Linked DNA regions of Mus musculus. The protein of the gene in region 6 purifies or fractionates together with the protein of the main gene of each other region. This does not show direct contact. Links are inferred from orthologs where the notes say so. Each region holds a gene or a part of one and is shown on either strand. Other genes may lie near its edges.

The links.
Region 1: the proteins of Actl6a (region 6) and Trrap purify together in Homo sapiens (affinity purification with mass spectrometry; 7 studies listed by BioGRID and IntAct, with this or other methods). This does not show direct contact. The link is inferred for Mus musculus from reciprocal best matches to the Homo sapiens genes ACTL6A and TRRAP.
Region 2: the proteins of Actl6a (region 6) and Smarcc1 fractionate together in Homo sapiens (co-fractionation; 8 studies listed by BioGRID and IntAct, with this or other methods). This does not show direct contact. The link is inferred for Mus musculus from reciprocal best matches to the Homo sapiens genes ACTL6A and SMARCC1.
Region 3: the proteins of Actl6a (region 6) and Smarcd2 fractionate together in Homo sapiens (co-fractionation; 5 studies listed by BioGRID and IntAct, with this or other methods). This does not show direct contact. The link is inferred for Mus musculus from reciprocal best matches to the Homo sapiens genes ACTL6A and SMARCD2.
Region 4: the proteins of Actl6a (region 6) and Arid1b purify together in Homo sapiens (affinity purification with mass spectrometry; 5 studies listed by BioGRID and IntAct, with this or other methods). This does not show direct contact. The link is inferred for Mus musculus from reciprocal best matches to the Homo sapiens genes ACTL6A and ARID1B.
Region 5: the proteins of Actl6a (region 6) and Smarcc2 purify together in Homo sapiens (affinity purification with mass spectrometry; 8 studies listed by BioGRID and IntAct, counting the BioPlex papers as one, with this or other methods). This does not show direct contact. The link is inferred for Mus musculus from reciprocal best matches to the Homo sapiens genes ACTL6A and SMARCC2.
Region 7: the proteins of Actl6a (region 6) and Smarcd1 purify together in Homo sapiens (affinity purification with mass spectrometry; 8 studies listed by BioGRID and IntAct, with this or other methods). This does not show direct contact. The link is inferred for Mus musculus from reciprocal best matches to the Homo sapiens genes ACTL6A and SMARCD1.

What each region holds. Positions count from the first base shown.
Region 1 is NC_000071.6:144,767,305-144,771,593, reverse strand, and holds the start of Trrap (transformation/transcription domain-associated protein), read right to left. Parts: upstream 2,801-4,289; 5' UTR 2,747-2,800; exon of another isoform or gene 2,227-2,746; intron 506-2,226; 5' UTR 445-505; coding exon 345-444; intron 1-344. UniProt on the Homo sapiens protein: Adapter protein, which is found in various multiprotein chromatin complexes with histone acetyltransferase activity (HAT), which gives a specific tag for epigenetic transcription activation.
Region 2 is NC_000075.6:110,135,024-110,138,523, reverse strand, and holds part of Smarcc1 (SWI/SNF complex subunit SMARCC1), read right to left. Parts: intron 2,956-3,500; coding exon 2,836-2,955; intron 1-2,835. UniProt on the Homo sapiens protein: Involved in transcriptional activation and repression of select genes by chromatin remodeling (alteration of DNA-nucleosome topology).
Region 3 is NC_000077.6:106,270,173-106,274,452, forward strand, and holds the start of Smarcd2 (SWI/SNF-related matrix-associated actin-dependent regulator of chromatin subfamily D member 2), read right to left. Parts: upstream 2,801-4,280; 5' UTR 2,537-2,800; coding exon 2,321-2,536; coding exon of another isoform or gene 2,261-2,320; intron 1-2,260. Other genes in the region: Tcam1 (testicular cell adhesion molecule 1), read left to right, coding at 3,462-3,479. UniProt on the Homo sapiens protein: Involved in transcriptional activation and repression of select genes by chromatin remodeling (alteration of DNA-nucleosome topology).
Region 4 is NC_000083.6:5,337,574-5,341,073, forward strand, and holds part of Arid1b (AT-rich interactive domain-containing protein 1B), read left to right. Parts: intron 1-1,642; coding exon 1,643-1,773; intron 1,774-3,500. UniProt on the Homo sapiens protein: Involved in transcriptional activation and repression of select genes by chromatin remodeling (alteration of DNA-nucleosome topology).
Region 5 is NC_000076.6:128,486,815-128,490,314, reverse strand, and holds part of Smarcc2 (SWI/SNF complex subunit SMARCC2), read right to left. Parts: intron 3,061-3,500; coding exon 2,679-3,060; intron 2,382-2,678; coding exon 1,956-2,381; intron 1,420-1,955; coding exon 1,343-1,419; 3' UTR 1-1,342. UniProt on the Homo sapiens protein: Involved in transcriptional activation and repression of select genes by chromatin remodeling (alteration of DNA-nucleosome topology).
Region 6 is NC_000069.6:32,707,343-32,711,345, reverse strand, and holds the start of Actl6a (actin-like protein 6A), read right to left. Parts: upstream 2,801-4,003; 5' UTR 2,491-2,800; coding exon 2,466-2,490; intron 2,411-2,465; exon of another isoform or gene 2,004-2,410; intron 1-2,003.
Region 7 is NC_000081.6:99,700,907-99,705,086, forward strand, and holds the start of Smarcd1 (SWI/SNF-related matrix-associated actin-dependent regulator of chromatin subfamily D member 1), read left to right. Parts: upstream 1-1,380; 5' UTR 1,381-1,415; coding exon 1,416-1,592; exon of another isoform or gene 1,593-1,884; intron 1,885-2,199; coding exon 2,200-2,387; exon of another isoform or gene 2,388-2,596; intron 2,597-2,684; coding exon 2,685-2,727; exon of another isoform or gene 2,728-2,831; coding exon 2,832-2,954; intron 2,955-3,424; coding exon 3,425-3,547; intron 3,548-4,180. UniProt on the Homo sapiens protein: Involved in transcriptional activation and repression of select genes by chromatin remodeling (alteration of DNA-nucleosome topology).

The DNA.
Region 1 (4,289 bases), on a different chromosome or scaffold from region 6:
ACAGTCAGCTCATTGAAACTGCCTTAGGGAGGCTTCAAAAATCACTGGATTTAGGGACTGAAGAGAAGCAATCAGATCTTATCAGTTTGACTGTCACAGCCCAGAAGATGGCACAGGGCTAGGTCCCTACCACCAGTCACACACATCCATCCTCCCAGACTCACGTGTGCATGCACAGACAAGGACACACATACACACAGGCAATCTGGCACACACACTTGTGCCTCTCTGTGGCTCCAGCAGTATTGTTCATCATTGTGCTTCTCCACAAGGTAGACGGGGAGACCAAGGACAAACACTAAGGTTTGCTCTTCCTCTCAGTGTGCAAAAAAGGACAGACTCACGTGTATTCACATCCGTGAGAGCTGCCACAAACTGAAGGTATTTCTTCATCAGAGTGGTTTGGTCGACCACCGTGGCCCCCTGGGTTGCAACGAACGCCATCTTTCTTCTGAGTTTGTGTTTTTCTCAAGCCTGAGCTGCCAAGTCCATGAGTTTATCCAGCCTGTGAAGAGAGACATCCCGTCAGCAGCTGGCAGGGACATGGGGAGCTTGTAACCTGTGAAATATTTTACCTCAGTACTTTCTAAAATTACATTCATATTTTCATTGTGTTTGGGGGGGGGGGGAGGTTCCTGTGCCTTAATAGATGTATTGAGGTCAGAGGAATCACACAGAGGTCCAGGGACTCGAACTCAGGTCATCAGGGCTGGTGATTGGAACCGAAACCTGCTGAGCTGTTCCACTGCCCAAGCTCTAAAGGATTTGCGGAAATCACTGTTTTCTGTGGGTTGTTTTTGTTGTGGACAGTGTGTCCAAATGCACTGTTTCAACATCATTCTCTTCAACATGGAAGCTTTTCTTTCCCGTTACATAGCCTTCTTTCAACAAACCAGGAGATCGCAAACGTTTTGTACAACGAGCTGTGCAGAATGGAGGGAGAGCTGGGGCTATAGCTCAGTGGAGAGAGGGTTTGCCTAGCATGTTTATGAAGCCTTGACCTTGATTCCCAGCCCTGCATAAAGCGGAGTAATCCCACAACCTCTCCAGCACGGGAGAAGTACAGATGGGGGCCTGGGACACATAAGACACTATCTCCAAAGTGTCATGGAGGAGGTGGGGGGAGCCACACAGGAAATGTTTGAATCTTTGTAGTTGTGCAATGTCTACCCAGTTCCCCAGCACTCAGGAAGGAGTCACTAACACATAAATGAATGACAACAGCGGTGTTCAAAAAACAAAAAAACAAAACAAAAAGGAGGGCTTAAGGACACCTTTTGCATAATCTGAATTCATCATGAAATACTACTCTTCTTCAATACTCCCCCCATCCCACCCCAACCAGTTTAAGAAAATATAAAACCAGCTAAGCATGGGGGCAAATGGTTTTAATCCCAGCACGCAGGGGACAAGAGGCCAGCCTGTTGTACATAGTGAATTTTAGGCTAGTCAGGGTTACCTGAGACCTTGGGAAAATATACACACTACATCATGGTAGAGCCTTGTCCTGGGTTTTATCCCCCAGTATTGTATAAATAATAAACTATTCTCCTAAGCATTACCTCAAAGACTGTGGATCTTATCTACAGTCGAGGCACAAAACACAAAGCATGCTTTTTATCATTACATTTTCTTAACTGGGGTGGAAGAAGGTGTGTGCCACACAGCACATGAGGAAGTCAGGGGACCACTTGTGGGACGTCTGTTCCTTCCATCCACCGTGTGGGTCTCAGGGATTGAACTCGGGTCATCGGGCTTGGCAGCAAGCAACCTTTACCCACTGAACCAACTCACCGGCCCCAAAGCATACTTTAAAAGCACCACAGTGACTTGGAAAACAGGAACGTTGACTCCTGGCTCATAAGGTAAAGCGCTTGGAGCCAAACCTGGAGACCTATCTTGATATGTGACCACAGGGTGGAGGGGGAGAACTGAGTCCCACAGGCTGACCTCTTAGCTCCACATGCATGCCGAACACACATACACAAACAAGCAAATGCTTAAAAAATAAAAAGCTGAGTGTGCCAGTGCACGCCTTTAACCCCAGGACTCTGTGGATCTCTGTGAGTTCTAGACCAGCCAGGCCTACATAATACCAGAGACCCTGTTCCTAGGGAGAGAAGAGAAAAGCTAAGGATACTATCAGCCTTGCTACCGTGACTTGGCAAACTCTTGCTTTTCCTATCAGAGTTCCTCCTTCAAACACTGGAGGTCCCTCATACTCACCGACTATTAACTAGACTCAGGGTCAAGGCATTCTTAAGAACAAAACAGAAGCCCTAATCCTGGCCAAACTTTTTATCTAGCTTTTCTGCTGTGGAGGCGGTGTTGTGTAGCTCGGGTAGGAGGAGCAGGCTGATGTAGATGTACGGTTGGCCTTGATTGTTGAGCTTCCAGCCCCGACCCCTGACAGGCCTGTGTACCATCACCCCAGGGCTAGGAGGTTCTGGGGAATCGAACCCAGGGTTTGGTGTGCTAGGGGGACACTCTACCCTCTGAGCTATAGCCCAATCATCTGCGCAAACTTTTGCGACACTTAATCTCCTTTTTATAAGCCACTCAGTAAAAGTGCCACTTCCGAGCTCCCACCCGATCCTCCCAGGGACCAGGCCTAGCTTCTCCCTGGGCCAAGAACCTGAAAGCAGGGGGCTACCCTATCCGCCTGTGGATTCTGGAAGGAGGTTCTGAGCTTTTCGAGAGGATATGGATTCAGGCCTGGATGCCCTCGAGCCCACGGAGTCCCCACCCAGGTAAGGAAAAGGCAAACGGCCCCACAGCCCGCCGTCCTCCATCGGGTCCGCCCCGCCCACGACGCCCGGCTGGCTGGACAACGCGCCTCCGGGCCGCCAGGGGGCGCCGTAGCCGCCGCTACCTTCACTCTCAGCGTCTGGCCCAGAGAGCCAGGAGCCTGCGTGGAGGCCCGCAGATGCCAGGATGGCTTTGGTGGGGTGCCGCAGCCCCCTCGACTCCTCACTCAATCCCTTCGCGTCGCAAACGGCCTTCGGGTTCCCTCCTTTTGTCGCCGATCCTTCCCGGGACTCTCAGCGACTGCCCCCCAGCAGGCCGCTGAGCTACGGCAAGCGCCGAGGGCCAACCTCCGCGGCCGCTAGCGCTGCGCGTCCCTCCATCCGCTCCAGCGCAGCCCGGCGCCGCGGAGGACTAAATGCTGCAGTGTGGCTGATCTAGTTTAGGAGGGCTCCTGGGGGGCCGGAAGGACCTCGGTCAAGCAGGGACAGCCTTCTCCACTTCTCCGTGGAGCCGTCGTGCTGCACCGACTCTCTCCCACGCCTGAGACACGCACGCGCGTGCATCTCCCGGGACCGTTCACCCGCCCTCCCTTGCGCTTACCGGGACCTGCCGACTAGCCCCCAGCATCCGGGCCCGAGTCCCCAAGAACTCTCGCCGCCGACGCCGCTGCTGCTCCTCGCTCAGTCCCGCCCCGGCTTAAAGCCGCGGCGTCCGCCCACCAGAACTAAGCTCGGGCGCACCGCCCCCAAGTGGGTGCGGCCTGGGCGGGCAGCGGGGCAGGGAGGGGCGGTCTGCCGCCTTGGGTGGGCGTGCTGTCCTTTTAAATCATCGCCTGGGTGACCTATCTGCTGAGCACCTAGGCCGGTGGGGCTCTGGGCTGCTGCAGCTTCAAGATTCGTCATCGCCTCCACACCCAACCCCGTGTCCCTTTTCCTCGCAGGAACCAGACTGAAGGGTGATTGACACCCGAAATACCTCTCCAGTTGGTTCACTGTGTGTGTGTGTGTGTGTGTGTGTGTGTGTGTGTGTGTGTGTGTGTGTGTGTATGTGTGGCCTTCAGGGCTGGACTTCCTTCCCTGAGATTTTATTTTTCCTCTTCCAGCAATGCTGGGTGTTGAACTTAGGGCTTCACATCCACTAGGCCAGCTGTGTGTGTGTGTGTGTGTGTGTGTGTGTGTGTGTGTATGTGTGGCCTTCAGGGCTGGACTTCCTTCCCTGAGATTTTATTTTTCCTCTTCCAGCAATGCTGGGTGTTGAACTTAGGGCTTCACATCCACTAGGCCAGCGCTCTATTGCTGATCAGCCGCCTGAGAGTGAAGTAGTTCCTGCAAGACTTTAATCACAGCACTGGGGGGGGGGGGGGGGGGGGGGGCCGGGGGGGGGGAGGCAGGCGGATTTCTGAGTTCGAGACCAGCCTGGGATAGGGGCAGATAGACTGACATCCAGTTGGCTTAAAGGCAAACTCGGGTGTTATGCTGCTAGGTCACCCTGAGACAACTACATTTGTCCCGCTTGTAGCTGATGCCCTCCCTTCAAGACAA
Region 2 (3,500 bases), on a different chromosome or scaffold from region 6:
ACGGTGGCTCACAACCACCTATAATAAGATCTGACACCCTCTTCTGGTACATCTGAAGTCAGCTACAGTATACTTATGTATAATAACAAATAAATCTTTAAAATTAAATCAATAGGGGTCTGGAGAGATGGCTCAGTGGTTAAGAGCACTGACTGCTCTTCTGAAGGTCCTGAGTTCAAATCCCAGCAACCACATGGTGGCTCACAACCATCTGTAACGAAATCTTACACCCTCTTCTGGAGTGTCTGAAGACGGCTACAGTGTACTTATAATAAATAAATAAATGTTAAAAAAAAAAAAGTAAATAAATAGTTGGCAGGAAGGACCTAGCAGTGATGCAGACTTTTAAACCCAGCACTCAAGGCAGAGGCAAGGATAGCTGTGGCCAGCCTGATTTAGAGTGAGCTCTACAACAGCCAGGCTACAAAACAGAAACTGTGTCTCAAAAAAATAAAAACAAAAAATAAAGTACCGACACTGTTAACTGTCTTTCTCATGCAATTTCCTTTTACAGAATCACAAACCAGAAAACTCATTTGAGAAAACGCTGATTTTGAGAGGAAAAAAACACATCTGATTTTTGTTTTGTTTCTCACTGTGCAGCTCTGGCTGTCCTGGAACTCACTATATAGACCAAGCTGGCCCTGAATGCAGAGATCCAACTGCCTCAGCCTCCCAAGTGCTGGGATAAAAGGTGTGTATATTTATACTAGACATTATACCAGACAAAATCAAAACCAAATAAAAAGCTTTATTCTATAACAGCCATAGCTAGAGACTGTCTCTGAAACAAAAAGTACTTTACATATGCACAGATTTTACTCTAAATCATGTGACATTTGATAGACTACACTGAATATTATGTTGCTATATATATCTTAGATTTATTTTGTGTATGGCATTTTGCCTGCATATATGCACATACGCTATGTGCATACCACACAAAGAAACACACACAGGTACATAAAAGTTAAAAGTATAGTCATTTAAGAATTTTTATTAGTTGGGCATGGTGACATATAATTTTTTTATATAGATTTATTTATTTCATGTTTGAGTATAATGCCACTGTCTCCAAACACCAGGAGAGGGCACTGGATCCCATTACAGATAGCTGTGAGCCACCATGTGGTTGCTGGGAATTGAACCCAAGACCACTAGAAGACCAGCCAGTGCTCTTAATCACCAAACCATCTCTCCAGTCATGGTGACATACAATTTTAATTTCAATACTTAAGACATAGAGAGACAGAGGCAGAATCTTTGAGCTCATGGCTAGCCTGGTTGACAGATTACATTAAAGGACAACCAAGGCTACATAGAGAAACTCAAAAAAAAGTCAAACCAAACAAGCAAACAAACAATCAAACAAACAAAAAAAGCCAGGGCTACACAGAGAAACCCTGTCTCGAAAAACCAAAAAAGAAAAAGAAAGAAAGAAAAAGGATTTTTAATTGACAAAATTTGTATTTATTAGCTGGAAACAGTGGTGTATGACTTTAATTCCAGCACTTGGGAGTCAGAGGCAAGCGGAACTCTGTGAGTTGGAGGTCTACAAAGTGAGTCCAGAATAGCTAGGGCTAGTAACATTGAGAAACCCTGTGTGAAAAACAAAACAAAACAAAACACAACACTGTATTTACTTATTTTGTGGGAGGGCACACAAGCGCTATAGCACTAGTGCTAACATAAAGGGTGATTTAAGAGACTGTGTTCTTTCCTTCCCCTGTGCAGGTTCCAAAGATGGAACTCTGGGCTATCAGAGCAGGGTAGCAAGTGCTTTCATCTGCTCGGCCACCTCACTGTCCCTTTATATAATTTTACAAGTATAGAAATTATCACAGACCTTTAATGTGAACCAGTCAAATCAGACTGTTACAGAACTTGCCTAGTATGCACAAGGCCCGAGGCTTAAAAACCAGAAAGAACAAAAGGTCTCCAATTCTGTGTAAGCATTCTTTGCTGTGGCTCTGCAATAGAGTATTCCAGTTATCTGACTGCCGAGGACACTCATCCTGGTCAATGCTTTCCTCTGTGTAAATTAATAAACATACTTCATGTGGTAGAGAAGGAAGCTAGCAAGTCAAGGCGCTTATTACCAAGCCTGACAACTTGAGTTTGCTCCCTGTGACCCACATGGGGGGAAAATCGACTCCTGGGAGCTGGCCTGACCTTTACAAGCCTGCTGTGTCAGGCATGTGTCCATACACATACAAGCACACATAAGTAAATAAATTTAAAATTTTTAATTCACACACACACACACACACACACACACACAGAGTACTCTAACAGACAAGTATCAGTATAGACAACACAGCAGAGAGCAACCATAGCAGAATATTACTTCTCCATGATTGTTGCAGAATATACAAGAGATTAAATGGCACAGCCCAAAAGAATTCCACCACTAAGCTGAAGATGACAGCACACTCCAGTAATCCCAGCTCAGGAAGTAAAGGTTCAAGGAACAGTTCACGGCTAGCCTCTAATACAGATAGCTCCAGGCCAGCCCTGGGCTCTGTGAGACGATGTCTCAAAAACAAGGCGGATGTCTCAAAAACAAGGCGGCGTGGTGGTGCATGCCTTTAATCCCAGCACTCGGGAGGCAGAGGCAGGTGGATTTCTGAGTTCCAGGCCAGCTTGGTCTACAGAGAGTTCCAGGACAGTCAGGGCTATACAGAGAAACCCTGTCTCAAACAAACAAACACCTCCTCTGTACAAGTTGTTCCCCCTTCTCCCTATATTGCCTGGCAATAGTAAGGGAAATCAACTAAAAGCAACACCTAAAAGTACAGAAACTGGAGATGCCTACTAACAAGTTCATGCACTTACAGGTAGTTTGGTGAAAGCTGGGTTGGTGACATGCTTCCCAAAGGCATCTTCTTGGAACTGTAGAAGCTGCACCACCAGTCCAGCTAGTGTTTTATTGGTAGGAGCATCTGCATGAACATACTGCAAGATAAAGAAAGACATGGATTTAAAACCTGGTACAGCTAATGCTGGAGAGAAAGCTATGTTATGTTAGTTCCTAGTACTTACTAAGTAACAGTACCATAGCACCACATTTTAGGTGTACAAAGTTCATTCTCCACTATAAAGAATCATAAAAACCCATCATGTACATACTTAGAGGCAGAGCATAAATGCTAATGAGATGGCTCAGCAATCAAGACTATATGCTCTTACCAGCACCCAAATGACAGTTCAGAAATGTCTGTTAACTCCAGTTGGAGATCCCACGACCTCTTCAGGCCTGAGGATACCAGTCATGTATGGAGTACACAGACATACTCGCAGGAAAAGCACCCATAAACACACACCCACACACAAAGAAAACCAGGCTGGAGAGATGGCTCAGTGGTTAAGATGCTCTGCCAAAGGACCAGCACCAACATGGCGGCTCACATCTATATCCACAGTGCAAGAAGATTCAACACCCTCACAGAGACATACATGCAAATTAAAAACAATACACATAAAGTAAAAATAAACAAATC
Region 3 (4,280 bases), on a different chromosome or scaffold from region 6:
AAGTCTGCTCACCCCAAGAACTCTAACCAGGAGCCCCTCTGGCCTCAGATCCCAAGACTTGCTGGAAGTTGGACATGGGAAGAAGCAAGCGGGATCTCCTTCAAACTCAACCAATGCTAACTGGGTTCTCCTTCCCTCCTTTCCCCTGCCTTTCCCTGGAGGAGGAAGAGGAAGAAGAAGAGGAGGAGGAGGAGGAGGAAGAGGAGGAGGAGGAGGAGGGGGAGAGGAAACATAGTTGGTATGGGATGCCCAGATTCAAGGCTATCTCCTTTCTCACAACTAGCAGCCGCAGCCATTTGGCTGGCCAGCCTGGCCTCAGCATAGACCCAAGGCTACTCTACAAAATATGCAGGAATCCATCTTCCAGTCTTCAACAGGGGCTTTCCCAATGGCATGTTCTCTATCAGCTGCTTTCCAAGGAAATGGGTCTACATAGTGAGTTACAGGACAGCCAGGACTATATAGAGAGACTTGGAAAACCAACCAACCAAACAGACATCCCCAGTGCCTGTAGGAAGCTTCCAGACCAGCTCTAAACAAGCAGAGCCAAGGGCTGACGCAGAGACTCATCAGTGATATACTAGGCCCATGAATCTCCAAAGAAAGCCACATGGGAAAGATAAACCCCGCTAGTATCCTTGGAACCACGTCTATCTCTGTTTATACCCAAACTCGTCATTTTCTTTTTAGATAGGAGTTGAAATGAAGGGGGTCACTTATCCCCACTCCGACCCCCAGTTAGGTATCTCCTGGGTATCTGATTCCTGGGCTGGAGAGATGGCTCAGTGATTAAGAGCGCCGACTGCTCTTCCAAAGGTCCCGAGTTCAAATCCCAGCAACCACATGGTGGCTCACAACCATCTGTAACGAAATCCGATGCCCTCTTCTGGTGTGTCTGAAGACAGCCACAGTGTGCTTACATATAATAAATAAATGAATCTTTAAAAAAAAAAAAAGAAATCTGATTCCTGGGTGGAATATGCATACATCATGAAGATCTATTTCTGAGACTTCTACCTAGAGACACCAGCAGGGGACAGAGCAAGCTACAGTGCACACCTCTCACCTCTCTGGCACATAGGTTGAGAGACATATGGCCTTGTCAGGAACCTGAGGGATAAGGAAAGAGAGGTTGGGCGTGATAGTGTGTGACTGTAATGCCAGACACTTGAGAGAAAAGAGTTCAAGGTGGGCTTTGGCTACACAGCCAGCCTGGACTATATGAGACCCTGTATCAAAAAGCAAGTAACAAAAGTGACAAGGATGTGGGAGAAGGATGGGCACAATCCCCAGGAAAGGAGGTGCAGCTCCCTGATACAGCAATCGTCTGCCACGTGCAAAGCCCTGCCTGGATTCCATGCTCAGCACCAAAATGCAAAAGCAAAACAAAATTCCCAAACATTCTGGAGCCACTTGAACCAGAGCTCTGGGGAATGAGGAGCGCCACATGCAGAATCAGGCTGAGTTCCCAATGCACTGACCACGGGTCCTGTCTCTGCTTGTCAATGGCCTTTGATGCTGCAACCTGAGACAGCTCTCTGCCAAGACAGAAGGGTCAGGGCAGTACCCTGTGCAGCCCAAGACCAGCAGGACTCCACAAAGCCTCCCTGCTCCTCCAAACTTTACTGGACACTGGCATCAAGAAGGAAAGCCCCGTACAGAGGATATCTTGAATGGTCTGTTAATGGGATCGGGCCTTCTTCAGACCTGGACACAGCTATTTCTAATCTATCCTGGAGTTATCTGGGCCCAATCTCTTTAGTCTCCCATTTCGTAGGAAGCCTGGCTTCCTTCCTCCTCAACTTGAGCAGCTGGGAGCCATCTCAGACATACTAACGCTCTGCCAGTTCCCAACTAGGAAGAAAAAAAAAAAAAAAAAGAAAGAAAGAAAGCCAAGGCAGAGATGCAGTGGGACCGAGGCCAAAGAAAGAGTAACCCTGTTTTCTCACTAACGACCCTCTTCCAAATTTTCCTCACCACATCCCGGGTCACTCCCTCACCTCCACTCCGGGACCTGTCTTACACTTTCAACCTGATTGCCCACAATTCTCTAGATCTCACGAAGCCTCCATCTCTAAGTTACTCGGAGCCAAGAAGCCCCGGGACTCCTCTAACTGCTCAAGCCCTCCACCGCAGAGGGCTTTCACCCTTTCCCCAACACTGCCTCCAACCCCGAGCCACTAACCAAGGGACTCTGGCCTGCCCGCCACCAGCCCTCGACAGTTCCTCCTGCAGTGTCCCCTGGGCCGCCTGTCCTCACCTGAGGCCCCAGGGAGACCGACACAGCGCCCTCGCGGCGCCGCTCGCCTGCCCTCCTCACCTGGTACTGCGCCGCGGGGCCAGCGGGGCCCATGGGGCGGAAGGCGGCGGCCCCCGGTACCCCCATGCCTCCAGAAGGCCCCGGGCCCCTGAGCGCCGGGCTGGGCAGCATTCCGGGTCCCGCAGGCGGAGGCGGCGCACCAAGGGCCGCGGCAACGGCGCCGCCGCCGGGGCTCAGCGGAGGCAGCGGGAACCCGCCCGCGCCACGGCCGGACATCACTCTGTCCCGTCCCGCGGTGCAGCGATCCGGCCTCCGGTCTCCGTGTTGAGTCCGCTCCGCGAGCTACGTTCCGCGATCCGGGACTTCCCGATTTTACTACCGGGTTCCGGGATCTTCTACTCCAAGTTCGCAAGTTCTTTGCAGCCCGGCTTTAGGATCCCGCGGCCCCTCTGACTCCGCTCCTGCCAGGGATACTCCAGATCCGGGATGTGCCGCGAGCCCGCAGGCCTCTCCCGGCCTCCGGAGGTTTGATCGCCGGAGTCCAGTTACCCAGAGGCGGTTACGAACTCCCAGCCCCGCCCAACCTAGACCCTGCAGGCCCCGCCCCTGCCCGGCAACCCAATCGAGAATGCCTCTTTAAATCCCGCCCTCGCGAGACCCGCCTCAAACCAGCACCTCCCATAACTGACGGCCTTAGAGCCCCGCCCTTGGGGGAGGCGGCCTTTTCCCGGAGGAGCGGGAGCGGAAGCTGCACGCGGAAGCGCGGAGGAGAAAGGCGTGGGGTCAGAGTTCGAAGGTCGCGTAGGGCCGTCCGAACTGTTAGGTGTTTGCTGTTTGCTCCGTAGTGCTGCTGCCTCGGCGAGATCCCCGATATGGCCCATCCAAAACAGTTCCGTCAATTCTGCGTCTTCAAGCCTTAAAAATAAGCGATCCGCGGCGGGAAAGCCGCCAACCACTTTTTAAGAGCCCATCTCGGGGCCGGTGGCATAAGGCACCCCACACCCACCCACCCATCTACCCCCAGAAGCCTGTATTGGTTGCTCCGCGCTTCCAAGGACATGGGCGGCCCCAGACGTGACCCAGCTGAGTGAAAGCTTGGCTTGGCCCAACTCCGAGTACTTAACTGCACTAACTTGCCCGTGCCTTTCTTTAAGGAAGCCTGGTAATTCGCAGAAAATGTTTTTAGGTGAAGGGATTTTGCATGCTGAGAGAACTCCAGGTACTGAAATAAGTTTTATCCAGTTTGTATAGGACTTAGTTTTGAAAAGTTGAGAATCAGCCGGGCGTGGTGGCAAACGCCTTTAATCCCAGCACTTGGGAGGCGGAGGCAGGTGGATTTCTGAGTTCAAGGCCAGCCTGGTCTACAAAGTGAGTTTTAGGACAGTCAGGACTACACAGAGAAACCCCGTCTCGAAAAACCAAAAAAGAAAAGAAAAGTTGAGAACCTTTTCAGAAACCACTGGCTTCGGCTATGTTATAGACCTACCCTCTGTCAATGTGGTATCTCCTACCCACGGTATAGAATAGTGCTACTTAACTAGGCACTGAAAATCCTCAGAATCAGGTTGGGGGTGTAACTCAGGTTATAGCGTGCACAAAGCCCTGGGCTTGAACCCCAGACTGCATCAACTACATGGTGGTGCATCCTCAAAATCCCAGCACACAGGAGGAGGCAGGTGGGCCAGAAGTTCAGGATGGTTCTCAGCTGCATCACCAGTTGATTCTACAGGAGACCCTATATCAGAAGAAAGCCGAGCTTTTTGTTAAAATGTGGTTTATGGTTCAATGAAATGGGGGCAGGGTACAAGATTCTGTATTTCTTTTTTGGTTTTTCAAGATAGGATTTCTTTGTGCAGCCCTGGATGTCCTGGAACTAGGTCTGTAGACCAGGCTGGCCAAAGATGACATAGGCTTTGGTCTTTTGACTAAACTGCTTTTGTTAACTTGTCCAATAAAGAGTTGTCCTGTAGGTGGGTTGATCTCACTTGTGTGCCACAAAGCTTTTGAGCTTTCAGAGATG
Region 4 (3,500 bases), on a different chromosome or scaffold from region 6:
TATGTGCTGGCTTGAGCTTCAGGCATAACCAAGCTGCTTGACTGCTACAGTGGATGCTTAAGAGATCCACTGGAGGCCAAGGAAACTGAAGGCCAGCGACTGGAGTGACAATATAAGATGAATTCCCATGGGGAAAATAGAAACCTGGCTATGCTATATAGGGAGGTAGATATGATATATGGATGGTCTCTGCTATGATATATTCAACTGATGTAATCTACACCACACTGGCAGATACAGGCCAAGGAGTTAACCTCAGCTGAATGCTAATATTGCTCGCTTACCCTCTGCGAGGCGATGGGAATACTAATTAATGGTCTGGAATGCCCGGTAGTTAACACAGCTTTTTCTGCATTCATTTTGAAGTTCTTTTAACACAGCAGAGGAAATAATAGCTCTTCGTTGTGTAAGAAAAATTTTTTCAAAGATTTCGGAATCAGTTGGCGTAAAACCATTTGCTGTGATTAGAAAATGAAAACTATTTAATTAATGATATTAAAGATGTTTATAGTTGTTAGACATTAAGATGATACATAATAAGAAAAATATGGTATCTTTTATATATGGGAGCTGTAGAGATGATGGCGTATAGATACTGAGCCCTATTTTATAAACAATGAAAATGAAATAGCTATTTATGTTTGTGTGTTTAAATAGATACACATATCTACTTTTTGAAAGCATATATTTATGTGGTATTTTGCCTGCACGTATATCTGCATTATATGCATGCAGTGCCCGAGGAAGCCAGAAGTGGGTGCTAAAGCCTCAGGAACTGGGTTGCAGATGATTGTTAGCTACCATTTGGGTGCTGGGACCCTAACCCTGGTCCTGGCCAAGAACCAGTGTGCTTAACCACTGAGCCATCTCTCCAGCCTATATCTGGTTTTGAATCTTCTTTTGTTTAGTCCAGTTTCTATCAGTGCTTGCCTTCAACCTAGGGAATTTTTCTTTTCAAAAGTCTGATTCCTTGTATGACAAAAGTCATGTTTTCCTCTTAAAAACCGTGTAAAACAAAAATCACAGTAAAGATGCCCTTGGACACACAGCCCTCCTCACTGCACCATAAGTGGCTGTGGTAAGTGGGTAGATCAGGACCCTCTCTGCCACAGGTCACATCGCAAGCCCCTGCAATTCTGAAAATCTCCCAGTACAGACTCAGGATATGAGGAGTCCCCAGTGTACCCCCATCCTCAGCAAAGCTGATGTCATTTAGTCATACTTTTCTAAGGGCAGGAGTAGGAAGAGTGACAGAGAGCGCAGACTTTCAGTCTCCTACTCCTAGGCACAGCCACAGCCGGGTAGAGGTGAGAGAAGAGAGACCTTCCTCTGACCTTACACTGTTTGGGGGGCTACAGTTTTTTTCAAGCCAGCTCTGCTGGGGTTGGCCCAGTTATGCAAGCCTGGTGCACCCTTACCAAGTGGTAAAAGAAACACCTAAGACGACAAAGGCCATGCGTGCTGCCTGGGTACTTGGGGCTCCTGTCCTACCACCAAGCAGGAAGGATCTTAAAGAACAAAGTAGTGTGTTGAGTTACCATCTCCTGCTAACGTCAGATGAAGCTGCACAGCTGACTGCTGCCGTCAGCACTCTGCTTTCTCCTCCAGAGCCGAGGTTCATAATACCCGTTCTCCTTTTCAGTTACTCCCGAGGCGTGGCGTGTGATGATGTCCCTTAAATCGGGTCTGTTGGCTGAGAGCACGTGGGCTCTGGACACCATCAATATTCTCCTCTATGATGACAGCACCGTCGCCACCTTCAATCTTTCCCAGGTGAGGCAGCTGCACACAGCTGGCAACAAGTTGGCACGTTATAAAATGAAGTAATGCATAATGCTGTGCTGGTGCAGTGACCATCCAAGACTTGGAATCTTTGTAGCTAATATAAAGCAGCATTAGTTAATATGTAGCCGCCTATGTACTCAGTCTGGGATAATAATTCATTTCCATCTTCAGGGTGCGTGCGTGTGTGTGTGTGTGTGTGTGTGTGTGTGTGTGTGTGTGTCAAAGAGAGAGATAGGAACAAAGAAATTGTTTCAGTAGGAATAATTAAACACCAACATGAAGTTGGAACTGATATGAGTTACAGAAAGTACTTCTCAGTACAACTTAATATCTTTCTTTTTACGTTACTGATTTGTAATTATTTGTTTGAGGCAGAGTCTCATGTAGTGCAGCCTTCAACCAACTATGTGATGTAGACCTGCTCCCGTGTGCTGAGGTTGTAGATGGGTACTGCCACATCCCATGCTGTGTCTTTTTCCTCCAATGGAAAAGAACACATTTAAGAGAACAGATCTCAATGGGCCCTAGGTCCCCACCAGCAGCCGTGCCTGCCTCCAGGTCACCTCCCCACATCTGCCTTTCTCCTCTGGGTTGTCTTGAAGTCCTCACTTGAAACCCTGCTTCTTCCGGGAAACATCCCACAACACCCTCACCCAGCCCCCCAGTTCGGAGCTGGCCTTAAAGTAGCTTGTAGCAGTTTGACTAACAGCAGGAAGCCTGAGAAAATCGCCTGAGTCAGTGAGGCTATGGGCTTTAAACTGGTGTTTAGGATAAAAATGAGAGGCTTGTTCTCCCTGTGGGCTGTAAACCGCTCACCACCTGAAGACTCCGGGCTGGCTCTCTAGTTCTCTGCCCTGCTGTTGAAATAAGACCAGAGCTTTCCACCACCCCCTTTCTTTCTACTTTGTCTTCGGTGTAGGCCAGCAGCAATTCTCAGCTGGTGGAGTGTACTAATGTGTCACAAACATCACATGCCCTGATGGTGGTGTTTTGTGTTTAAGATGTGTCCTTAAAATCATGTGTTCTCCTCTAGAACCTCCACCCTCACGGTGGATGAACTCTGCCTGCTTGTACGGTTTTATGCCCAGAAGTCCTCGATTAACCCAGGGAGACTTGTGACAGGGAGGGAGAACCACCCAGACTTCCCCTAGGGAGGATACCTTCAGAATCACAAAAGCGACTGCTTGCTACAGCTTATGTCCCCTCGCCTGAGACAGGTGTGCCAAGCCCTGAGAACAGAGAGGAGATGTGACACCGTGGTTGGTTTCCACAGCATCAGTCACACAGAGCCCTCATTGCACGTCCTTACAGCCCGAGTAAGGCAGGCAGGAGAGCTCGGCTTCCCACAGACCGACTCTGCCAGTGGCTCTTGTCTTTCATTTAGCATTGTGAATAACTGAAATGTAAAATTGCATTTTATAAAGCAGTCTCCTTCATTTATCAGGGACTAAATTGATTTGTTTATAATTTTCATTCTTTATGAAGCTGCTACGTTACTGAGATTATCTCTTTCAAAAGAGAGAGAGAGAGCATAAATCAGGGCACCTATGGCACCTGAGACAAGAATAACCATAAACCCTAAGAATAATAACCATAAAAAGCCCAGCAGGCGACTCCCACATAAACAGTAGAGGAGCAAATAGATTCACTTTGGGTGCAAGAGTCTATAAAAGCCTTGCTCCTGCTCCTCACAATGCACCCCCTAAGTCATGCAA
Region 5 (3,500 bases), on a different chromosome or scaffold from region 6:
TCTTGTGGCAAGAGGCTGATGGCTGTGGGCCTCTGCAACCCTGGTGAATGTCCAGTGAGGGACTCCAGGAAGGCTGCCCCAGCCCAATCTGCTCCCTGCCTAGCAGCCACAGCTAAGAGAACACAGAGGCACCCACAAGATGGAACTGAAAGCAAATTAATTTATAAAAAAAAAAGGAAAAAGAAAAGAACAAAGAAGGAAAGAAAATTTTACAGAAGACTTTGAACAGAAGAAAGGTGTGGAGATGCAGAGGAAGGAGACGCTGGGACAGAAGGAGCAAAGCGCCTGGTGGGAGGGGCCAGGCTCTGGTGCGGCCTGGAATTGTGTCTGCCTCCAAGTAGGGGGTGAAGAGGAAGACCTGGAGTGCAGAGGCACGCTGCACTGCTCCCAAATCTTTGTCCTCATTTGGGGAACTCCTAGCTATCACTGGGTTCTGTCAGGCTTGGTTGGTGGGGGCAGAAGTTAGCAGACTGTCCCACTGTCAAAAGTAGGTGCTTAAGTGCTTTTCAAACTTGAGGGTCTGCAGGCCCCCCATCCTCTTAGAGCTCCCCCTCTGATGCCTGTTGGGCACTCACAGATACAACTAGGAAAGCAGGAAGAAGAGCCCAACTGAGGCCCCTTCTTCCTCTATTTCCTACCACAGAATCCCCGAAAACTACATTTCCCACAAGTACACAGACGCTGACGAGTAAGCAGGTGACTTAAACACAAACACAAAGCTGACTGGAGGAAAAGGTCATTGGCTGAACTGGGCCTAAAACAGCAACCATGACGAGCAGCAGGAGGGATTTGTATGAATAAACTGGAATGGGTGAGGGGAGCTGACTCAGCACTGCCAAGGGCTCAGGGAGACAGGCTCGGTGCCCTATTCCACCTCACACCTTGCCCCAGAAATTTAATTCCTCTTAAAACCTGCCCTTTCCCCTCAAAATAATAATAATAATAATTAAAAAAGTTCTTTTTTTGTGGGCTCCGAAGTGTCTTTTTTTAAAACCTCCCTTTTAAAGGGTTTCATTTTCATGTTATCACTTCAAAAATGCAGTAATTCTGAAGGGGTAGACCCTCAGAACCAGTTAGTAGAACCTCGTATAAACATCTTTCCCTCCTATTCTCTCTCCCAGGCATTAGAAACATCTTTTAGTCAGAAGTCCGTGGATAATAATTGGATATAAAACTGCACACCTCTGCTGGGCATGGTGGGGGTGGTGAGGGGGCAGGAGGAGCTTTCCTTACGTAGTGATGAACTCTTCAGGCTGAGGGAGGGTCCCAGTAGTGGGGGAGGGCTGTTCCTGGAACTGTGATCTCCATGGGGAGTGAGGGGGAGAGATGGCTGGCTGGTTCCTCACTGTGGAGGTGGCACAGGGGTGACTGTGCCTGGGCTTGGAGCTGTGGGGTCTGGAGGCAGCGGGGTGCCTGGGTCTGTGGAGAAAAGGAAGATGAATAAGCTGAAGCACGCAGAGGGATTGATCCAGTCCCAGGCTCCACACACAAACAGAACTGGGCATGGCATGCAGTGGGTGGGTAGATGAATGAGGTACCCACTATGTGTAATTTCTTTTTCTCAACACTCTTTTCCGCCTGACACTGGAAAAACCTTATATCCCAAACCTTCTTCCTCTCCCCAAGGTCTAAATAGGGTATCTGAATGTGGTGGGAACACTCAAGGAAAGCCATCGCCATGCAGACGGTAGCTAGGCTCCAGGTTTACAGCTGAGGTCCTCTGAACCACTGGATTCCTCCATGACCCACCAGTGAAAGCCCTGTCACCCCAGCGGTGGCAGCTGCCCAGTTGGGAAATGGAGGACAGCCAAAGAGGCCTTCCTCCTGTGCTCTAGTTTTATCACAGCATTGAACAGGGCTGTGGAAATTCTAGGATCTAGCCCTTTCCCTACTTGACTCCCTCCCATAATGTAGAGCCCTCTCCCTCACCCTTTCCCCTCCTGGCCCCTTCTCACCTGGCAGTGGGCTGGCACTGGGCAGGAGGTTGCCCTGAACAGCTGCCACAATGGCAGGGCTCTGGGCTGCGGCGGATCCGAGCCCCGGCCCGAGAGGCAAGGAAGATGGCATGGTGGTGGTCGCCGGCAGGTTAGGATGTAGAGGGTTCGCCATGGACACAGGCAGGTTAGGTGGGGGGATAGTGCCCGGGGCAAACGGGAGATGGTGGTGATGCCCATGCAGGTTAGGAGGAGGGGGAAGGTTAATACTAATGGAGTCAGCTAGACTACCGAATGGGATGACGGATGGAGCAGCAGGAGGAGGAGGCGGCATGCCAAAAGGCAAACCCAAAGGAGCATTACCCGCCACGCCTGGGTGCCCGCTGCCTGGCACTGCCCCTGGCATCATTGAGGGAGGAGTTGGTTGGTTGGGGAACGGTGAGGGGCCTAGAAATAAAGAGAACACGAGGGTGAGGGGGTGGAATCTTACCCACCGCACAAGCTGCACAGCTACCTGCTGGTGCTATCCCCTTTCTCCTGGCACTAGAATAAGCTGTAGATTCGTGGAATAAAGTTCCATGTATCTGTGTTTGGGAACACATCCCTGCTAGTTTGGGGACAGAATACAATGGAGTTCACCTGTAGGAACTGCAACAAACATTTATACCCAAGGTATTCCCTTCAAAGGAACCAGAACATCTGCCTGTAGCTCTATAGCAAACATATCCTGGAACCCACACTCACCATGGGGTCCAGGGGGGGGTACCCCTGGTGGGACTGCCCCAGGCTGAGGGGCTCCAGCTTGTTGTGGCTGCTGTGGCCCTGCAGTTGTCCCTGCCTGCCCAATCTGTTCAGAAGGGCCCAAGCTTCCAGGAGGGGCCCCACTGCCAGGAGGGGCAGAGGCCACAGCGGCTGGAGGCACAGCTAGACCATGGACTGTAGGTGGTCCAGCAGCCCCGGTGGGAGGTATGGGCTGGGAGCCTGGGGGCAAGGTTGGTGGCTGCTGCTGCTGCTGCTGGTGCATCTGCTGGAAGTGCTGCTGCCGGGCCCTCATCTCTGCATACTTCAGCTGCTCCATGTGGAAGGCTTGCCGGTCGGCCAGGAGCTGCTGCCTCTGGTATTCCAGCTGCCGGTACCAATGGAAAACTGTTACTGGGTACCAGAAGACCTTTGGCAATTGCCTTGCCTCCCACTTCCTCTTTTGGAAGACCCCATCTCTCATGCTGGTGTCTCACCATGGCTGAAGACTCAGCCATGTCTTCCTCTGTCCTTGCAGACCTGAGGCCACCTGCACTGCCCTCACTGCACCAGAGTTCGGGCTGGATTTGTTAGTACTCTGATTTGAAAATGCCTCCAGCTTCTGTCAACTCAAGTTATTTCCTTCCTTCAAAATCAGCTACAAGCCAGGCGTGGTGGCGCACGCCTTTAATCCCAGCACTCGGGAGGCAGAGGCAGGCAGATTTCTGAGTTCGAGGCCAGCCTGGTCTACAAAGTGAGCTCCAGGACAGCCAGGGCTATACAGAGAAACCCAGTCTCAAAAAACCAAAAAAAAAAAAAAAAAAAAAA
Region 6 (4,003 bases):
CTTCTATAGTCCAGGTACAGAAGGATGAACAAAGGACTGCCCTCATAATCCTTAAACTGAGGAAACAAGAAGAAACTGTTCCCAGAACCTAGAAGGTTTCTGCTGAGAGCTGTGGTAACAGCTGAATGATGCAGAGCTAAGCTGCCTATTCAGGGAGGGAGGGCCAAGCTCAGATTGCAATCCCAGGAAGACTCTATAATGCAGCATCCAAATTGGGGCATTTTAACTTGGGTGGGGAACACCAGCTTTTAACGATTATACTAAAACAAAAAGCACAGGCAAAAAGTATAGTTACCCTACCATCACCAAATCAAAGTTCAAAGCTGAAACCAGAGGCTGAGAAAGCCCAGAGGCCATCTCTACAGGCACAAGATGTGTATAAATGACAGCAAGGGAATCTGGTGGCACAAAACAAATCAAACAAACAAACAAAGGAAAGAAAAATAAAAACCACCGAATACATCCTAGTACAATTTCATCAATTATGGGGAATTATGTTTTGTTTCATGAAATGAAGAAACACAGCAAAATATGAAAACTGCACAGCATGGAAATTAGAGTGTAATTTATACAGGCCAAGTAAAAAGCATTTAATGAACGTATCATTTAAGTTACACATTCCAGACTTTAGGAGACAGTTTAGTGGTAAGAAAAAAGCTGGCAATCTTTTTCAGTCTAATTTAGAGAAAAGCCTCCATGTATATTTTCCAAATACTTCACCCCAAACAGCAGGCCTCCTAGGATAATGCACTTGGGTTTCTCAGTACTGGTTTTTCAATGGGGTCCCCCTCAAAATTTAAAACACTAATCCTACTTACCTACATTACTCAAATGCTAAGGCCTTAAAAGTTCTTCTGTTTCTCTAGTTAAAGCCAATCTATGCCCAATCTACCCAGTTTGGTGCTAGTTACAAAGAGGCACCCAAAGAGAATCACAGAGCTATTTAGTTTAGACATACCCAGTTTGGAGAAATTCCTAGTTTAAAAGGAGATGCATATGCAACTGTTTGAATGAAAATGTCTCCTATAGACGCTGATATTTAAACATCTGGGCCCCAGTTGGTGGTGCTGTTTATGGAGGTTTAGAAGATGTGGGCCTTGATGTAGGAAGCTGTCACTGGGGGACAGGCTTTGAGTTTAAAGCCCCCACTATTTCCAGCTGCTTCATGCTTGAGGTTGGACACGTGAGCCCAGATTCCTGCCCCACCATCATGCCTGCTGTTAGCTGCCATACCTCTCTCAAACTGGACTCTTACCTCTCTGGAATCATAAGCTAAAGTAAACTCTTTCTTCTAGAAGCTGATTTTGTTTTTTTGTTTCTTGGTTTTTTTTTTTTTTTTAATCACAGCAACTGAAAAATGACTAATACACTATGTGAGATGGGTAATTTACTAACTTCTCTGCTACAGTTTAATCCGAAAAATGTATTTAATACTTACCTCATAGGATAGGATGACTAAATGCCTTGAATGTTTTAATGTATAAAGCACTTACAGTGCTGACAAACAATAAGCCGATAAATATTAGCTAACGGTAATTATTACTGTCACACTTCTTGCCAGGGAAAAGACTACCGTTCCTAGAGAAACTACTATAGTTTATTCTCAGAAAACCCTACACAGCAGTTAAAATGAGTGGGCACAGATCTACTGACTCAATGCAGATATAGATTTGTTAGTGTGAGGATACTATTTAACTCTTGATGGGTGCGTGTTACCTGTACACGGCAGAGAAAGGAATACCCCTGCCTCATCCCAGAAGCAATTTGCTCCCAATTTACAACGAGTCTTTAAACTTTGAGCTGGTTGTTTAACTCTTGCCAATATTTTTTTCTTCGTTAACGTGAGGGATGGCAGCACCATCTCCTGTCAACATCCCCCCTAGAGGAGAGTCTCTAACTAGGTAACTACTCTTAAACAAAACAGTACTTAGAAGCCTTGTTTTCGTTATCGCCGATCTAGAAAAGGCTCCCGCCCAGCCGGACAGGAGAACTGCAGCCTGTACCTCAGGGATCCGCTCATCTGGGGACCGAGCACGCCTGGAACGATGTCCAGGCTGTAGTGGCTGCTGAAGGACCCAGAGCAGCAGCCGCAACACCGGGCGCCACTCGCACCCAGTGCCAACCCCGGGGGCCCGGAACCTCCGCGAGCTGCCCGGGACCAACGCGCGGCGGAACCGGTACAGTGAGGGACCCGGCGTGCCAGGGACTGCCATCAGAGCCCAGCCGGTAAGACGCGCCAAGGCCCTTCCTTGAGGCCATCTCGGAGCAGCGACGGGACAAGCCGGAAACCTATTGCGCGCCGGCCCGGGTCCGAAGAGAAGGAGAGGCCGTGGCCCATACGGGGACCGGAAGCACCGTCCAAAGACCGGAAGGGCCCGCCGAGGACCGGAGGGAAACGGAAGCGACTAGGGACCAGGCCGGTCGTTCCGGTCCGCACGCCCCGAGGCGCCGCTGCGCTCACTCACCTCCGCCGTACACGCCGCCGCTCATGGCTACTGTCTGGCGGGGACTGGCCGAAGACTACCGGACGAAAGATAACAGCGGCGTGACTCCTCTCCCTGAGAACGCCGGCCCCGCAAGCCTGCAACTTCCAACGCCGCCCCCTCCGGCAACAAAGCAGCGGCCGCACGCCCGCTGCACAGCCACTCTTGCTGGTTTCTCGTATCAACCAATGACAAAGGGTCCGGCTTAGTCATTAGCCAATCAGAGTGTGGCGCTGCTGCATCCCCGCGCGGTTTAGCCGTCTTAGCCAATGGAAGGCATCCGTAGGGGCAGGGAGAGGGAGAAGCGACAGAAGAAGGGAAGGTGTTGGGGTACGGGCAGGAGGGGGCGGAGCTTCGCGGGCGGGTGAGGTGGGTGGAGCTTCGCGAGCGGCCGGTAGGGTGGACCGAGCTTCCAGGAGCAAGGCGGGGGGAGTGGGTGGAGCTGTGCTTCGCGCGCGAATAGAGTAGGAGGAGTCTTAGGTGGGCGGGCGAGTGGGAGGGGCTTGGTGCAGGAGTGGGCCGGGTTTCGAGAGTGAGTTAATTAGGTACTGGGAATTAAGAGGCTTGCCTCAGGCCATCAACCGCTCTGGTTCTAAAGGATGGCTGCTCCCCAGGAGCCAAAGGAACTTGAGTGCAAGGAATCTGGAACTTGAGTTAGTTACCTGGGAGAGATCCCTGGCCTTTGATTGTGATGAATTCGGAATTTTTTTTTTTTTAAGCAGAAATACTTCAACTAACATTTATACTTGAAAAAGAAATGTGCACTTCACTTTGAATTAATCAGCAAATCAGATATAATAATAGGATCCATCATTTTAAACAATGGCTATTTATATTAAAAGACAGTACATTTTTCCAGCTAGATTTAGATAGCATTTAAAAATCATGACTTCAGTTTCTTTCATTTCTGTGAAAATCATTCACCAAGCAAGTGGAGCACTATTCAAGGAAGCACCCATTTGTAAATACCTCCCCAATCCGTGTCTACTGTTCTTAGTCTACATCTCTATCAGTGTCGCCCAGAACACTGTCTTTTCTTACCCCAAATTACTGCAACAATTTGTCCCTCTGCTTCTCTAGGCCTTAGATAGCCTGATCTATATAACCAAAGGCCCAAACCAGTCCTGCCATTCCAAAGCTCAAGTGTAATGTAGCTCTGTACCTGGTAGCAGTGCTTAAATTGAAGTGTCTAGGGTCTAGCTACATAGTGGCTACTTGTAACCTTAGGTGGGTTGAATAAACTCTCATCCATTTCCCTGCCATTAAGGTGGCAGGAATTGACCTGTCTGTCATAGGTTCAGGAATAACGCTAGTAAGAAAATGCTCTCCCGTTCACTTGACACTGTGTGCTGTGAGCTGACAGTGATGGTTTGGATTTGGGTTTTTTGAGAGAAAGTCTCACTGTGTAGGCCAGGCTAGTCTCCAAGTTGTAATCCTCCTGCCTCTGCCTCCTTGTACTGGAATTATAGGCACATGCCACCGTGTGTGTATTACTACATTTTAAATGATTCAAAAACAGT
Region 7 (4,180 bases), on a different chromosome or scaffold from region 6:
CCAAAACAGGACTTATGGGCAGATCACCTGTGTACGTTGGCCTGGAGCCAGAGAGCAAGGCTTTGGCATCTTTGAGACCTCTTGGTTCTCAAGAGTTGTTTAGAGATCAGAACTCCCCAGAAAGAAACAGGGCAAAGCTGAGAAATGTACACTGGCTGGGGGGGCAGCAGGAGGGGCTCTGGGTGACGCATGCCTCTGGTCTAATAAACTGGGTTTCAACCATCTCTTCAGTGTTGGTTTTCTGTTTGTTGTTTGGTTTGTTTTGAGACAGGGTTTCTCTGTGTAGCCCTGGCTGTCCTGGAACGGCTCTGTAGTCCAGGCTGGCCTCGAACTCTCACAGAGATCCTCCTGCCTCCCAAAATGCTGGGATTAAAAGCCTGAGCTGCCATTATCCTGCCCAGTGCTGTTTTTAGTTGCAAACTGTGGGTGTTACCTTTAGAATGGAGCTTGCCTTGAGAGCCACACAACTAGAGTAAGGGAATTTGAGTGGTAGCCCGGTGTGGTGGTTATACCTGTAATTCCAGCAGGTAGGAGATGGAGCAGCTATCTTCCATTACACAGTGAGTTTAACGCTAGATTGGGCTACACCAGACCCTACATACTTGATCAGGTAAACACTGATCCTGCTGGGAAAAGACAGGCTCAGGATTCGTCTGATCACTGGGCAGGGGACCAGCAGTTATCTATGGCAACAAATATCCAGGACTCTTTGGAGAAAAGTCACGGGAAAAAACGCATCAAAATCTTAAGTTAAACGTCTGAGGTGAAGGGTCCCGAGCCTTCTCTGTGTATCCCTGGCTGTCCTGGAACTCACTCTGTAGACCAGGCTGGCCTCGAACTCAGAAATCCGCCTGCCTCTGCCTCCCAAGTGCTGGGATTAAAGGCGTGCGCCACCACGGCCCGGCATGGGTTTTCTCTTGCTGATTTGTCTTTGCCACGACATTGATCTCCTTCGAGTTCTACTTTTCCCGAACGAACAAACAGCACGTTTTCCTCTTTAGTACCCGGAGTCTGAGCAGTAGGAGAACGAAAAGCAAGGCAACCAGAATGCTTTGGAGAGGTAAATGCACTGGGCCAAGGTGAAGCATCACTCCAGCCGCCAGCCGGATGGGCTGGGCTCTCTGCAAGGCTTTTTACCGTCCTCCAACCGCGTGGAGGCGCTCGCTCCCGGCACCTCTTTATCCGCACACCGCTTCTCTATGGTGCTCCCTCCTGGCCCGTGAAGGCGGGAGGGAGTGGTCAGCACGCCTTTCCCGCTAGTCGCCCCCTCTAGCCCGTAGTCTCGCTGCTCCGAGCCGCCTGTGCCCGCCGGCGGGCCGGGCCCACAAACAGCCCAGGCGCTCGGGGGGCGCGCGGGGGGCGGGGGGAGTTCCGGTTCCGGTTCTTTGTGCAGCTGCAGCGGCGGCTCCGGGAAGATGGCGGCCCGGGCGGGTTTCCAGTCTGTGGCTCCGAGCGGCGGCGCGGGAGCCTCAGGAGGAGCGGGCGTGGCGGCTGCTCTGGGCCCGGGCGGAACTCCCGGGCCTCCCGTGCGAATGGGCCCGGCGCCGGGTCAAGGGCTGTACCGCTCTCCGATGCCCGGGGCGGCCTATCCGGTGAGTGGGACAGGAGGAGGGGCGCGCGGGCCGGGGGCGGGGCCGAGCGAGGGCGGAGGACTGACAGGGGTGAGGGAGAAGTGGGAGGGACTCCCTGGGGAGGGGCTCGGGCCGGGAGTGGAGGTGTGTGGGGGGGGAGGAGGTTAGCATCCTTACCTGCTCCTGGCGGCATTGTTTCCATGTGAGGAGTGAGTGTGGAACCAGGGTGGGCGAAGTGGGCCCTGGGATGGTCATGGAATGCAGAGGGGAGTGGGCAGCCCCCGTGTCCCCAGGAATACCCAGGCTGTTATAGCTGCAAATGGAGGTCAGCTTTAGAGGAGACAGTAGCTAGTAAAAAAAGAAATGTAGGGCTGACTAGACATGTCTGGTGAGTCAGATCCAGCATAGACCAGAAAAATTGAGTATAATCTAGTTTTTAGACTATATGCAATGAAATCACTGAAGGTCCAGTGACTGTATTTCAAAGAAGCAAAGGACTGTCTTGTTGTCCCCCCACCCCACCCCCAGCCCTAACCCACTCCTGAAATCCAGGCTGCCACCATTTTTCCTTTCTTGGTGGGGCTAGCAAGGAAAAGTATGACATTTCTGGGTCCTCTCCCTTCTGTAGAGACCAGGTATGCTGCCAGGTAGCCGAATGACACCTCAGGGACCTTCCATGGGACCTCCTGGCTATGGGGGGAACCCTTCAGTCCGACCTGGTCTGGCCCAGTCAGGGATGGACCAGTCCCGCAAGAGACCTGCACCTCAACAGATCCAGCAGGTCCAGCAGCAGGCGGTCCAAAATCGAAATCACAAGTAAGATGACCCCTGGGGGTGAAGGAAAGAAGGGTATGGGGGAGAGGAGGCCTGTGAGGATGCTGGTGGTGGGCATGCAGAACCAGGAAGTCAGCGCTGTGGCACCAAACGGTGCTGCAGGGACTAACAGGGCCTCATGATGCAGTGGAGTTTTGGTGGTCATGGGAGAGGTAGCGTCTTTAAATGGAGAGTCATTTCGTAGGCCTTGGCTGTAACCATAAACAAAGGTGCTCACAACACTGCTCACGTTCTGACTAGTTCCTATCCCAACCTGATCACAGTATTTATTCTGAACAGTGCAAAGAAAAAGAAGATGGCTGACAAAATCCTACCTCAAAGGGTGAGTGCAGCTGCAGAGGTCTCCTTGAAGGGGTAGTGGCTTTGAGAATAGAAGTGGTCAGAACGAGGGCTGCCCCATCCCATCTCTGTCTTTCTGTTCCTAAGATTCGGGAACTGGTCCCAGAATCACAGGCCTACATGGATCTCCTGGCTTTTGAAAGGAAACTGGACCAGACTATTATGAGGAAGCGGCTAGATATCCAGGAGGCCTTGAAACGTCCCATCAAGGTAACAGGACAGTACCAGGCTGAGGGTCAAGGGAGGGGCCCAGGTCTCTCTCCAGCTCAGGATGGAAAAATCAAAGGCACAGCACAGCTCTCTGTGGCATTTAAATTGCATCTTTCCCTTCCGCCTACAAACCAGGAATTACATTAGGAGCATAGGAGTCTAACAGCTGGCAGGGAAAGGGGCGGGGGTGGGGGGTTGGGGGGGAGCTATCCAGGGCTCTAGACAGAAATAGACCCGTGCGCGCTTTTTGCTGTAACCACTTGCTACCTTGGGAACATGCCACTTTGCACAATTTTGTCTCCCTAGTCCCCTGGTGCATTCACTTGCACCCAGGCTCAGGTCGGGACTGTACACTTCCGAGTGGAGTCTCTGTCCCCTGTAGTGAGCCAGCCAGTGAGGAGTCACTTGGGAGTTTTAGGGGACCTTTACTACCGAAGCTCCACTGTCGATCCTGTTTCTGCCTTCCTCAGCAAAAACGGAAGCTGCGAATTTTCATTTCTAACACGTTCAATCCGGCTAAGTCGGACGCGGAGGATGGGGAAGGGACGGTGGCTTCCTGGGAGCTCCGGGTAGAAGGCCGGCTCCTGGAGGACGTGAGTTCAAGGTCCACTGTGGTTGGTGCTCAGGGAGGGAGCTGCAGGGGTGGCACTGTGCCGGGTGCTTGGTGCGGTGTGCTCAGCAGGAAACCTGACTGCAGTTCACCACTCCTGCTGGGAGCTTCCGGGAGGGGGCTGGGGGGCTGTGTTCCCTGCATACAAAGACAATGGTCCTTTGTGTCTGCTTCCTCAGCTGCACGGTTTTGTCCTGGGGTCTGGGTTGCTGTTGACTTGGCCCTGGTGATGCTGCCCTTTGGATTTAGCAGTATCAGTGGATGATCTCAGTGGTCCCCATCCCTGCCCGCCACCCATCTGTGCTGAGCCTTTGAGGCCATGTTTCCTCCCTTGAATCCTTGAGGTTATTTCTGTGTTCCCAACTTTCCTTGGAGGTACCACAGTTTAAGTGTGAGAGTCCCCCAAAGGCTTGGCTCTCTGTTGCTCCAAGGGGATCATCAGACTAATGAGCACCCCCAAACTCTCCACCCAGCAGCTCATGCTCACCCAGTGCTGCGCTCTGGCACTATATTTAGCTGTGCAAGTGAGCTCGTTCGAGTGCACTTTTGCTGGAGAACCAGAGCCTCCTGTGGGTAGTCCGGGCTGTTTGCTGGTCATGTGTTCTGTCCAGATAAA